Linked DNA regions of Mus musculus. The protein of the gene in region 2 interacts with the protein of the main gene of each other region in a biochemical or structural test. Links are inferred from orthologs where the notes say so. Each region holds a gene or a part of one and is shown on either strand. Other genes may lie near its edges.

Region 1 (3,644 bases), on a different chromosome or scaffold from region 2:
AGGTCTCTAGAGTGAGAACTGTCACCTTAAAGAGACAGAGGGGATCAGGGAGATGGCTTAGTGCTTAAGTCATCTGTCACCAAGCCTGAGCTCTGTCCTCAGGGGCTACATGGTAGAAGGAGAGAGCTGACACCCTCAAGGTCCTCCAACAAGGACCACCCCCAACACACATGCATACACAATAAGTTAGAGCGGAGAAGAGAAGACTTTCATTCTCCAGTGGTCAAGAGAGAAATATTCTTTGACCCGGCCCGAGGTAGGAGTGCGGGACACAGACTGGAGATGGAAGAGAGAAGGAACATCCTGTTGCTGCCTGGTGAACTTGCTCAAAATCCCTCCAGAGGAGCACAGGGTATATTACAGCCTCCTGACAGACAAGGAAGACCCAGGACGAGGCTCCGGGGAGGTCTCTACTGCAATACTCCTGTAGCAGGGGCAGAGGACAGGGACATACAGGCTCACCTCCCTAAGGGGATCATCTGAACCCCCTACCCTTCCATCATCGGGCTCCGGAGCCCCCAGTGCACTCTCCCTAGGCTCACAGGCAAGCCCATCAGGCAGTGGGCTCCTTTCTCATGCCCAGGCCTTGCCCCTGAGGAATGTCTCTGGGCAGCCTACACAGGAATGGTGATGGAGGTGGATGCCTGACCAGGGGCCTGGATCTTGAAAGCAAAATTAGTCAAAAGGATCAGTGCTCGGACTTCAAAGTCCTCTGTGAAAAGAACAAAGACCAGTGTGAGAGGGACTGATAAACAGATCTTCCAACTGAAGGCAAGGTGGAAGCAGAGATAAGGGACAGACAGGAAGTGAGAGCTGAACTCCTCCACAGAATGAAGAGAACTCAACAGCAGAACAAAGGGAAAGGAAAGTAACCGTCAACAAGCGACTCCTCCAAGAATGGTGGGCAGAGCCGGGGAAGCTGTGTGCAGGTGCTATGTGAACAGAAGCGGTTGGTGAAAAAACACCAGAGCAAGGAGGCCGGCTCACACAAGGCACCTCAGAGCAAGGAGGCCGGCTCACACAGGGCACCTCAGAGCAAGGAGGCCGGCTCACACAGGGCACCTCAGAGCAAGGAGGCCGGCTCACACAGGGCACCTCAGAGCAAGGAGGCCGGCTCACACAGGGCACCTCGGAGCTCAGCATGTGCAATGATCAACAACAGTCTTAGAAAACCAGACTCCTCACCAGCATAAGGACAGAGGCAAGCGTCAATGCAACAAGTTTGAAATGGCTTCAGACCAGACACCTCTGACTCTTTACACTGGGACCGCCCCAGACACTACAGACTTAACACAACATAATTTCTATTTTTCATATAATTTATACCAGCAGTTCTCAACCTTCTGAATGCTATGACCCTTTAATACAGCTCCTCATGTTGTGGTGACCCCAACCATACATTACTTTTTCTTACTACTTCATAGCTGTAATTTTGCTACAGTTATGAATCATAATGGAAATCTCTGTTTTCCTATAGTCTTAAGCGCTCCGTGAAAGGCTGAGAAATGCTGATTTACAGCCACACGCACTCCCACAGAGTAGATGCATCTTGTTTCTAAATGCCAAGTCCACATTCCCTCCAGTCATCATCTCTGGAACATCAACACCTCCAGCTTGATGTCAGCTCTGCCCCAGGCTGCCAACAGCCACTGCCCCAGAAAGCCTTTCTTCAGACTCCTGGCACTGCTCACTCAGGACAGCAAAGCATGCTGGACTCAAATCTGTCTCGGGTCTTCTGGAACCCACTGACTGGAGAAGCACCAGAGAGACCTGCCTTCATTTCTCTTTCTAGTGTTTTAAAGTGGCGGGGTGGGAGGGAGGGGGAGATGGAAAGGGAGAAGAGAGGAAGAGGGAGAGATACTATTTTCATCTTCAGACTTCCAAGCTCCCTGAGGGCTGATTCTGTCCTCCTCTTGAATCCTGAGTTAGTCACCCTGTCAAGGAACCCAATAAACCACTCTTTCCCAAAAGAAGGAATCACCAAGCCCTGCTCCCACAAGATACTCAGCCATGTCCTTGTCTCTCCAAGGATGCGTACTTTCTCACTAGGAAGGAAGGCAAAGCCATGGAAAGTCAACAACTACCTGGGTCGGCTTCGGGGTGCTCCTGGCTCTCGGGCCTACAGTACTTTCCAAATGCCTCCTCCTTGGGAATGTCGGGGTAGAGGTAGACAAGTGGAGACACCAGGATGTTGGTCGCATCCATGATCTTATAGCCCATGATGATTTCAGCAAATGACATGTTGTTCAGCTGCTGCTTGGTGTATGGCTCTACAGACTGGATCTGGGTCTTGCCTGTCACGGACCATGGAAGGAGAGATTATGCCAGTGGAGTGAGTGCTGGAGACTCTGAATGCCCTGCCCAGTGACTTGGAACTGAGGCAATATCCAGGCGGGCTTGTAGAGATCCAGCTGGCTCATAGGCAAAAACACCTGCCGCAAATGTATTAACGGGGTAGGCAGGAAAGGGAGTACAGAAGTAAGATTTCAATCACACTTTTCTACACAAATGTTAGCCAAATGAGTGAACAGGACAAACTGGCAGGCCACCTCTTCAGGAGGCACAGGCCCTCTCTGCCCTTCAGGGGGCAGTAGTACCCAGAACATGAAGTAGCCGGGTGCTGCCAGTGGCCAGCAGGTGGAGCAAGTGATACAGGAGGCAAGCGTTCTTACCACTGATGTCCTTTTCCACCCAAGTGAAAGTGACCCCTCCTTCTTTGCTGCTCTCGCTGAAGCGCAGTAGGAAGGTGCCCGGGGGCTTTGTGCTTAGGATGGCCCGCTCCCGCTCCTTGCTGATGAAACCCATGATGTACCTGCAGCCAAGGACAACCAGTCACGGGCTTGCTGGGAGTAGGTGACTCGTTACACAGGGCAGCCTTACTGCAGAGTTTAACCTTACCCTTCATTCCAAAGGGCCAAGATATACTTTTTCACAAGGTCGATGATATTGTCTAGCCAGACCCAGAAGGAGAAGCCCTTGCCAGCCATGTTTTCCTGGAGAAAAGAATGGGAAAGCAAGTCCACCACCACTCACCCCAGCTCTTTCCTGCCAGAGCCTTCTTACACCCTCAGGTTCCTCTATCCTCAGGCAGCTCCTGACAGCTGCTGGAGAAAGGGGTCCTGGGCACCCCACACCTACCTCCTAACTGAGGGAATCAACAGGATCACTTACTTTGCAGAATTTAGCCCATGTGATCTGACACCCTGAGTAGTTCACACCAGGCCCTGGAAGAGAAAACAACAACCGGATTTCAGCCTTGGCCAAAGCTATTTCTTAAGCAGAATTTACAAAAAGGCCATGCATTTGTACATGTACTTACAGGGTGTGTGCCACACATGCCCACACACACCCAAGCCCAACAGCTGTCCCTAGATTAGGCCAGCACAGATGTCCTGTTGGACCCCTGCTTGTCCTTGCCTTGTGTGGTCTGAGAACTGGCAACACACAGTGACAAAGCTGGCAGCTGGGGTCAGGAGCCTTTTTTTTTTTTTTTTTGTAGGAGCACAGGTCAAAGTTACTTTCAGTCCAGATATTTTTTTAAAGGGGAGAAAAAATTTAAAACTATTGTCTTTGGCTTTTTAAAGAAAGAAACATGCTCTTCAAACACACTTAGCAACCTGGTCCTGGCATGGTGCCTTGCCCTA
Region 2 (4,185 bases):
TATTGTAGTATAACTTGTACTTTGGTGTGTTTTTAATTTGTTTTTTAACTTAAAAACATTTAACGCTTTCAACTAATTGGAAATCTTTACCTTACTAGCAAATATTTATCTGCATTATCATTACTAATAGCTTCACATGTTTCTTTTAATATTAATGTGTTTAATAGTTCACTCAAATTCCTAATTCAAGCTATTTAGGAATTTTCAGTGTGTATTACAACACTGATAAAAAAATAAAGATTTAAACAAAAGATCTGCATAAATTTCATATGAAAAATTTTAATGATACATTTTTATATATTGGAGCAGGTTCTCTGGAAGGGCCTTAAACACTGAGAAATCTCCCTAGTTCAACCTTGAATTTCTGACCCTCTAAACCTCCACCACCAGAGTTCTGGGAAGACAGGCATGCACTTTACACAGTGCTGGGAATTGAACCCACGACTTTCATGCCTATCGGGCAAACACTCTTTATTTTTGGTTTTTCGAGACAGGGTTTCTCTGTGTAGTCCTGGCTGTCCTGGAACTCACTCTGTAGACTAGGCTGGCCTCGAACTCAGAAATCCACCTGCCTCTACCTCCCAAGTGCTGGGATTAAAGGCGTGCACCACCACGCCGGGGTGGGCAAACACTCTTATCGACTGGTTTACATCCCTAGCTCCGGCTATTGCCCGTTTGAAAAATAAAAAAAAATTTTTAAGGATTTTTCTTTAAAATCTTGTATTTAAAGTAGTTCGGTGATCATCTTATCCTGAGAATGAGCTCACAAGTAAGGCAATTTGGGGACAGTGAGAATAAAAAAAAACAAAAACAAAAACAAAAAAACCCTTGCAAATGCATATTCAGTTTTACAAACGAGAAAGCAAGAGTTCCTCAGTGAACCGATTTCCAAGATATGTCTTCTGCAGTGATTCGAGAGCGTCGGACACTCGGCCCCTTCTCAGCATCCCGAGCACGATCCCTAACCTCTGCCCCAGTTCTTTCAACAGGTCCTTAGGGTACCAAACCGTGGCTCCACACGGTCACAGCGTGTGTGGAGGGGACTTGTAGTAGCGACGTACCGGAAGTGTTCGTGGAAGTGACCGAAGTCAACTCACGACTGATTGGCTCTTCGGAATAGTCCTTCGCCTCCTTTTGCTTGCCACTGGTTGCTCGTTTTGTCTATTTGAACAATCCCCGCCCTCGAGAAGCCGGTCCCGAAGCTCCAATTCTTCATGATTATTGGTGGATGTTCCTCCCCATCTTCGAGCTCGGCCCGCTGATTGGTTGTAGCGCTTACGAGCCCGCCCTCCCCACCTCCCTGGCCTAGAAGACAGCGGGGAAGGCGGGTGTTGAGGCTGGGGGCCTGAAGCGGCGGTACCGGCTCCGGCGGCGGCAGCTGAGGCGGTGGCCGAAGCCGCGCGGTGAGTCTGGGGCCTGGAGTCGGGCGCTTGCGGCTGGCGGGACGGCCAGACTCCCAGCCAGTGTGGGCCGTGCTGGGGGAGGCCCGGGAAGCCGCCTGTCTGAACCGTACAGCGCCCCAGCACCAGCTCCGCGCCCTCGGGGAGACCCCCGCAGGCTGGCGGATCTGCTCCGGGCCTTCCGTGGAGCATTTAGGTCTCCTTCTCGGGCTCAGGACCTGGAACTCCAGACCCACCTACTGACGGTGGAGCCTGTCCCCAGGAGCTCCAGTTTCGGGATCTGCCCCCTACACTTCACCATGGAGACCTGCCAGGAACCCAGACCTCCGCGCCCACGCAGGGTCAGCCTCAGGGTCACGCCCTCCCTTCACGTTTCAACCTTTCAACTCGAATTCCCCTAAGGCATTCTCACAACCTTTGGGATTTGTGACTCAAATAGTTACTTTGAATCCAGCCTGGGGCAGCTGGCTTGTGGGTAAACCTTCAAGTGACTGTCTAATTACTGACGTGATGAGAATAGAAAGTCCAAGTCGGTCTCCTTCCCGCTGCCTCGTGTGCTTACACGCTCAGTAGTGGTTTCTTCCGCTCTAAAACGGCCCAGTTCCTTTTATAGTATTTTATTCCCCCTGTAGTGTAGCGTTTGAAAGCCTTTCAAGACTATTTTACTCCTTATGTTTTGTGTTTATCCCTAACCCCGGCATGACCTTGAATTTCTTGCCTCTCCCTCAGTGCTGGGCTTAAAGATGTGTGGCATCGTGCCTTGGTTATGAGGTGGTGGGGATTGAACAAGGGGTTCTGTGCATGTTAGGCTGTGTCTCACAGATTCTTTCAAAGCCAGAGTGCTTCGGGAATTGTTTTTGTTTTTTAGTATACTCTGGCAGGATAGGTGTATATGTTAGTTACTGCCATGGCATAGTGGGCTAGCCCCTTTTTAATGGCCACTTTATTGGGGTCCCCTGGATGGTAAACTTATTGAGGGAACAAACATCACATAGTTGAAAAATGAGTGATAGTGTTGAGCTCACCATTTGAGTGTGTTGCTATTTCCTATGGTGTGTGTGTGTGTATGTATGTATTTGTTTCTAGAACTGCCTTCCCAACCCAGTGAATGCCTGTTCGTCCTATGAAATGGTGCAGTACTTGTATATAACCTTTTGTATGCTTTAAATCACACCTCCCTTGCTTTTACCTTCAAACACTATGAATGGTTGTTATACTGTACCATACACTATGAATGGTTGTTATACTGTACCATACACTATGAATGGTTGTTATACTGTACCATACACTATGAATGGTTGTTATACTCTACCATGTAGCAAATAATGACAAGAGCACTATTTATTGATGGGGGGTGGGAGGTGCCGTGCATGCAGTGGTGTGCACGTTGATGTCAGGACAAATTATAGGAGTTCTCTCCTTTACCTTGTTGGTCCCAGAGATCGAACTCAGTCATCAGATTTAGCAGCAAGCTCCCTTTCCCACTGAGGCATCCCTCCCACCCACACCCTAGGATATTCTGTCCATCCTTGGTAGACTCTCCAGGTTCAGAATCCATGGATGAGACGAGCTAGCCATGCTAGTACCCTGCACAGCTGCACTATGCCATCCATACAACAGCCTGTAGCCACATGTAGCTGCTGAGGTATGACCGATCCAGATCGGGATAGTTGAATGCGAGATTTTGGAAACTCGGTCTCAAAATGAGTTTTTGAATTATTGGATCGAGTACGCCCTGTGAGTTTCACCTGTTTCATTTAAAATTACATGGAGGGCTGGCAATATCTCAGCACCTAAGAGCACTTGTTGTTCATCCAGTGGACCCCAGTTGTCAGGCCACTCTCAACTGCCTGCAACTCCTGCTCCAGGGACTCCAATGTCCTCTTCTGACCTTTGCAGGCTTCTGCACATATGTGGCATACACTCAGATAGTCATGCATAAATAAAATAAAATAACATAAAATGACTCACGTGACTTGTATTATATTTCTGTTGGGCCAGACTGCTGTAGACTCCATACACTCCTGCAAATGACAGTCTGAGGAAAGGAGAAACCTTAGTTTTAGTTCTCTCTCTTCTGCCCTACTCCTGACTTTAGACCACATCTACAATAGTTATAAAAGCGAAGAAGAGCTGTGTGTTGCACTCCCAGAAACACTTTTAAATGTGTAAATCCTCACCTTATCCCACGAGTTAGGCTCTTCTACTGAGGTGCCATGGAAATTGAGGAGTCTTAAGTGTCCCCCTTAAGGAAGGTGACTTTGCCTCAGGATTTAAGCCCAGGTAGTCTCTGGAGTCCCAAGCCTGGCATAAATGAGTGGAAATCCGTGTTAGGAAGGCCACAGAGGAATTTACTAACAGAGTTTATAGAGTATTGAAGGATGGGGCTGGGGACGGTGTTCCGTCTCGGTAGAATGCTTGCAGCATGCAGAGCCCAGCTTGGAATCTCAGCACCCTTCGACTCCTAGCTTGGTGGTTCCAGGCCGTCAACTGTGGCGTGAGTTCAGGGTCATGCTATGAATAGAAGACTGGCTGAAAAAAATGAAAGAAAAAGATTTTTAAAGGGGCCAGCAAAATGGCTAAGTAGACAAAGGTGCTTGCTGCCAGGGTTGACAGCCTGAGTTTTATCTCTGGGATCCACATAAAGAGACAACTCCTGCAAGTTGTCCTCTCACCTCACATATGCTGTGGTATGTGTGTGTATGTGTGTGTGTACATAAATAAATGTAAGTTTAAAATGTTTTAATTTGAAAAAAAAATGTGTGAAAATAACTTTTATTCACCT
Region 3 (4,187 bases), on a different chromosome or scaffold from region 2:
CAGCTGCTTCAAAGCCATTCTCAGCTGAAGTAGCTTCCTGTAGTATTTCTTCATGTAGAGCTTGCAGCCCCTTACAGGTCAAGTCACATGCCAAGGAGTATAGGAAGCTTAAGTTCAAGAAACCTGACTTTATGCCTGGATATGAGATCTACTTTGCCAGACTCCTAAAGATCTGGAAAGGCAAGGAAAAAAGCCGTGTGTGTGTGTGTGTGTGTGTGTGTGTGTGTGTGTGTATACATATATGTGTATATATGTGTGTGTGTGTGTGTGTGTGTGTATACATATATGTGTATATATGTGTGTGTGTGTGTATACATATATGTGTATATATGTGTGTGTGTGTGTGTATACATATATGTGTATATGTGTGTGTGTGTGTGTGTGTGTGTGTGTGCGTGTATGGGCTTTGTTTGTGTGTTGTTTATCCCTTTCCCTTGTAACTCCTGAGTACTCAAAATGGAATGTGAGCCAATCAAGCATATAATGGTTAGGCAGATGACTCAGTCCTGATTCAAGCTCATGGGCTTTATACGCCCATAGATCCAGAGGACAGAGTAGACCTCAGGGTGATTCACTTGACCTTGAACTCCCAGCTGGCCCCTGATACAAGTAAGAAAATTCAAAAGTTAGATGGATTTGCAGAGAATAGATGAGAGCAAAGAGAAATAGCCCAAAGGGTATTCAACAGCTGTTAACCCCGGAATTACCAACACTCAGTAAGGTGAGGCAGGAGGATCTCTGTGTAGCCCTGGCTCTCCCGTAACTCACCCTGTAGACCTCTGCACTCGGATTCCGTATCTCGTTGGGGTGCTAAGTGATGAGAAACATTCTGGAGCAAATGGGTCAAGCTTCTGCCCTTTAGCAGAGGCGACCTGGAATGAATGGCCTTTGGGAAAAGATCCCACTCCTTAAATTAACTGGCTTTGGCAGAAACAAGCAAGTCTTTCCTCGAGCTATGGACTGTGTGACACACAAACAACAACAACAGCAACAAAAATCTGACAAGGGCCAGCTGGCTTTGGGGACCTGACACTGCTTTCTTTCAGTTAAGAAGCAAATGCTACACTCTAAGGAAACCCCTTCCTCTTCAAAGACAACGGGAACTACCTGGTCTGCCAACGGACACTTCGCAGACCACAGTGAGAAGTGGATCAGAGTGCATTACAAACAGTACTGGCTATTGCTACCCAGCTAACCTGTTCATCCAGAAAGGGACGGGCAAGAGAGAAAATAAACGTTTCCCAGAGCCTTTAGGTCTGTATCGGTGCCTATAAAAAATAAAAATAAAAAATACACCCTGATTCACACCTCGCCTAAAAGGACTCAACTCTCTGTGAAACTTTGTGCTCAACACAAAGTTCTGCGAAAAGACAAAGGGGCAACAGCGTGAACTAAAAAGTGGCCAGCGGGGTTGAAGAACTCCAGTAACGGGAGGCCAGAAGCCTGCAGAAAACTTTTCCTTTGGGCCGTTTCTAATAAGAGGGAGCCGGCTTTCTCCCCCTGCCCTGCTTGCTACTTCTTGCTGAGTGTAGGAACTCAGCATGACGATGCACAACAGACACGTGCTCAAGCAGCGAGGCCTTGGTGCTGTGTCCTGAAGATCACAGAACCCAGTGGACACTGACTGAGCTCCAAGATCCCTTCATCGGTGCCTTGGTTCTGGGATCTGGCTGTGCTCCCTGGTGCAGGGACAGCTGCCCGAGAAAATAGGCATGTGGCCCGGCTGCGCCAGCAGTAGCCCAAGGTTCATCACCGCGCCAGGATTCCTCTTGTTTTTGAGTTGTAAGAGGAGTAGTTGGGGGAGGAGACCGGGGAGGGGAGAAGCGCAAAAGTGGGTGGGAGCGGCGCGAGGATTGGGAGGGAAGTAGTGAGCCACGAGGATTTCATCATGCAAACAGGCGGGTAGGTTTCATCAGCGTCTATACTGGGGCTCCAGGGCAAGCTGGGAATGCCTGGTTCCCGGAGGCCGGCCCCCACCCGCGCCAACTCAGCTTCCTCTTCCTCATCCTCCGCCACTTGGGCCAGTTCAACGCTGTGCCCTGCCCCCCAGGCCCGAGGAACGTGTTGTTCTGCACTACACCAGACGCCGCCCCTGCAGGAATCTCTCTCTTAACACAAGCCACAGGTGGCAGAGAAGCACCCTCAGCGTCCAGCCTCCATTAATGAGCGAGTGTCCAAAGCAAAGAGGGCTGCCTCCGGAAAGGTTAAAAAAAAAAAAAGTGTGCAGGCGTCACTTATTCCAAGGGAGATCAACTAAACTTAATCTCCAGGCCAGCCTCTTTCCCTGATCTTGTCCCACCCCAAACTGCCCTGACACCCACAGAGGTCGCCCTTAAGCACATGGTGGTCCTGGCAGAGTGCCTATCTGTATGCTCAGGGCACTCTGCCGTATCTCCCAGGAAAAGGCTAATAATGCAGGCAGTTTGCAGCCGGGTTCCAGACCACGCTCCACCACACCCAGAAGGCGAGCAACCGAGACGGTGACCCTTCTGCTTTCCCGACGCCCCTCGTCCGTTCTGGCCAGCTACCGAACCCCTCGAATGCCGCCCTCCCCGTCGCACGTGAGACTCCGGATCCCGACGTATCCTCCAGCCCCCCGAGGTCGCCCGTGACCCCGGCCAGCGCCTACCTCCCGGGGTGGTGCTGAAGAGCGTGCCGCCCGGAGTGGTGCTGTAGTCCCCGGGCGGGAGCTGCACGCCATCGCCGAGGGCTACGCGGCGAGTGGGGATGGCCCGGCTGGGAGTCTGGCTGCAGCTGCTGCCCGCCGACATGTCTCCTGCACGCCGCCCACGACCCTCCAGCAACCCCGCGGCACCTCGGCCCAGCCCTTCTCGTGCCCGGCCCGCCCCTTCCGCCTGGGCTCCACGCCCCCTGAGACTTGCGGTCCGCCCGGCCCCACCCAGCCCCAGCCCGCTGCCTGCAAGTGGTTCCCCAGCTGCTGACCTAGGCAGCTTCTGTCCTCTCCAGTGCAGGAACCCCAGTGTGGGCCCCTTGGGTTCCCTGGTTCCTCCCCGAGACTCTGGGAAGATCTAGGTAGGGATGACGGTGGCAGAACTCTCCGATTTGGTGGCAGCGTCTCAGCGCACCAGACCGCCTGCTTTCTATATTAGGATGTGACCTCTCGATCCCAGGCCGATCCTCAGAGAAGAAAGGGTGGGCTGATCCTTCGCCATTCTTAACGTTTCTACAGCTTTTACAGTTTTACAGTTTTTAGGAGTCAGAGCAGCGGCTGCACAGCGCACATTCCTGGACTTGGAAGGAGTAGTGGAAGAGTAAGAGGGACCTAGCCAGCCAGCTAGGAACCGAATATAAATCTGATGAGGAATGGGCAGGATCGAAGCTCTGCGTACTGTGGGCTGGGAGGATTAGAGTTAACCGGTCAAAGATCCGCATAGTACTTGGACTGGGTTCCACTCCAGCACTTTGTCTGGTAGTCACTAGGGAGGGAAGGGAAAATGCATGTCCAATCGGTTACAGTGTCTGTGTCAATCAATCTCCATATGGTAGGAAATGCCTATAATCCCGACCGTGAGGAGGCTGAAGCCCTAGGAGGATCCCAAGTTGACAGCCGAGGGAGGGCCAGAACCCTGTTCTCACTGTTGTCCGGGCTGGCCTGAGAGAACACACTGGGCCACCTTCCTCCCTTTGGGAGAAGCATGTTGAAAGGGGTTTTGCTTTTTGCCTTGTTTGGTTGTTCTAGAGGCCCCAGATTTCCTGGAACTACGATTTCAGGGAAGGGCCTGTTTATAAAGTCCAACATCCAAGTTCAGCATTCAAGTGGTCCACACTTGTCCCAGCAATGAGGAGACTGAAGCAGGAGGATTCTAGCCTGTGCTACCCAGCAAAACCCTGTCTCAGACACAGAAAGAAGAGAGAGAGACTTAAGCTGGGCATGCTAGCTCAGAGAAACTGAGACAGGAGCATTACAGAAAAGCTGAGGGCAGACATGGTTGTGGCGAGTTTGATGCACAGCCTGGGCCAGACATGTTAAGACGCTGTCTTAAACCGTGAAAGAGAGAGAGAAAAAAAAACACGGGGAAGGGGAAGCTTGGAACACAGCTCACTTGGTAGACAGTTTACCACGTATACACTAAGTCCACGGTTAAATCCGAAGCATCAACATAAAAACTGAACGTGGTGGCACTTTGTAAGCTTATAATCCTAGAACTCGGGAAGGGAAGGTTGGG

What was found.
Region 1: the proteins of Mtor (region 2) and Stat3 form a complex in vitro, tested with the Homo sapiens proteins (2 studies listed by BioGRID, with this or other methods). The link is inferred for Mus musculus from reciprocal best matches to the Homo sapiens genes MTOR and STAT3.
Region 3: of the proteins of Mtor (region 2) and Eif4ebp1, one has a biochemical effect on the other in vitro, tested with the Homo sapiens proteins (29 studies listed by BioGRID and IntAct, with this or other methods). The link is inferred for Mus musculus from reciprocal best matches to the Homo sapiens genes MTOR and EIF4EBP1.

Annotation. Positions count from the first base shown.
Region 1 is NC_000077.6:100,890,993-100,894,636, forward strand, and holds part of Stat3 (signal transducer and activator of transcription 3), read right to left. Parts: intron 3,225-3,644; coding exon 3,172-3,224; intron 2,994-3,171; coding exon 2,899-2,993; intron 2,813-2,898; coding exon 2,673-2,812; intron 2,295-2,672; coding exon 2,082-2,294; intron 1-2,081. UniProt on the Homo sapiens protein: Signal transducer and transcription activator that mediates cellular responses to interleukins, KITLG/SCF, LEP and other growth factors. Once activated, recruits coactivators, such as NCOA1 or MED1, to the promoter region of the target gene.
Region 2 is NC_000070.6:148,447,285-148,451,469, forward strand, and holds the start of Mtor (serine/threonine-protein kinase mTOR), read left to right. Parts: upstream 1-1,297; 5' UTR 1,298-1,403; intron 1,404-4,185. UniProt on the Homo sapiens protein: Serine/threonine protein kinase which is a central regulator of cellular metabolism, growth and survival in response to hormones, growth factors, nutrients, energy and stress signals.
Region 3 is NC_000074.6:27,258,993-27,263,179, reverse strand, and holds the start of Eif4ebp1 (eukaryotic translation initiation factor 4E-binding protein 1), read right to left. Parts: upstream 2,854-4,187; 5' UTR 2,772-2,853; coding exon 2,630-2,771; intron 1-2,629. UniProt on the Homo sapiens protein: Repressor of translation initiation that regulates EIF4E activity by preventing its assembly into the eIF4F complex: hypophosphorylated form competes with EIF4G1/EIF4G3 and strongly binds to EIF4E, leading to repress translation.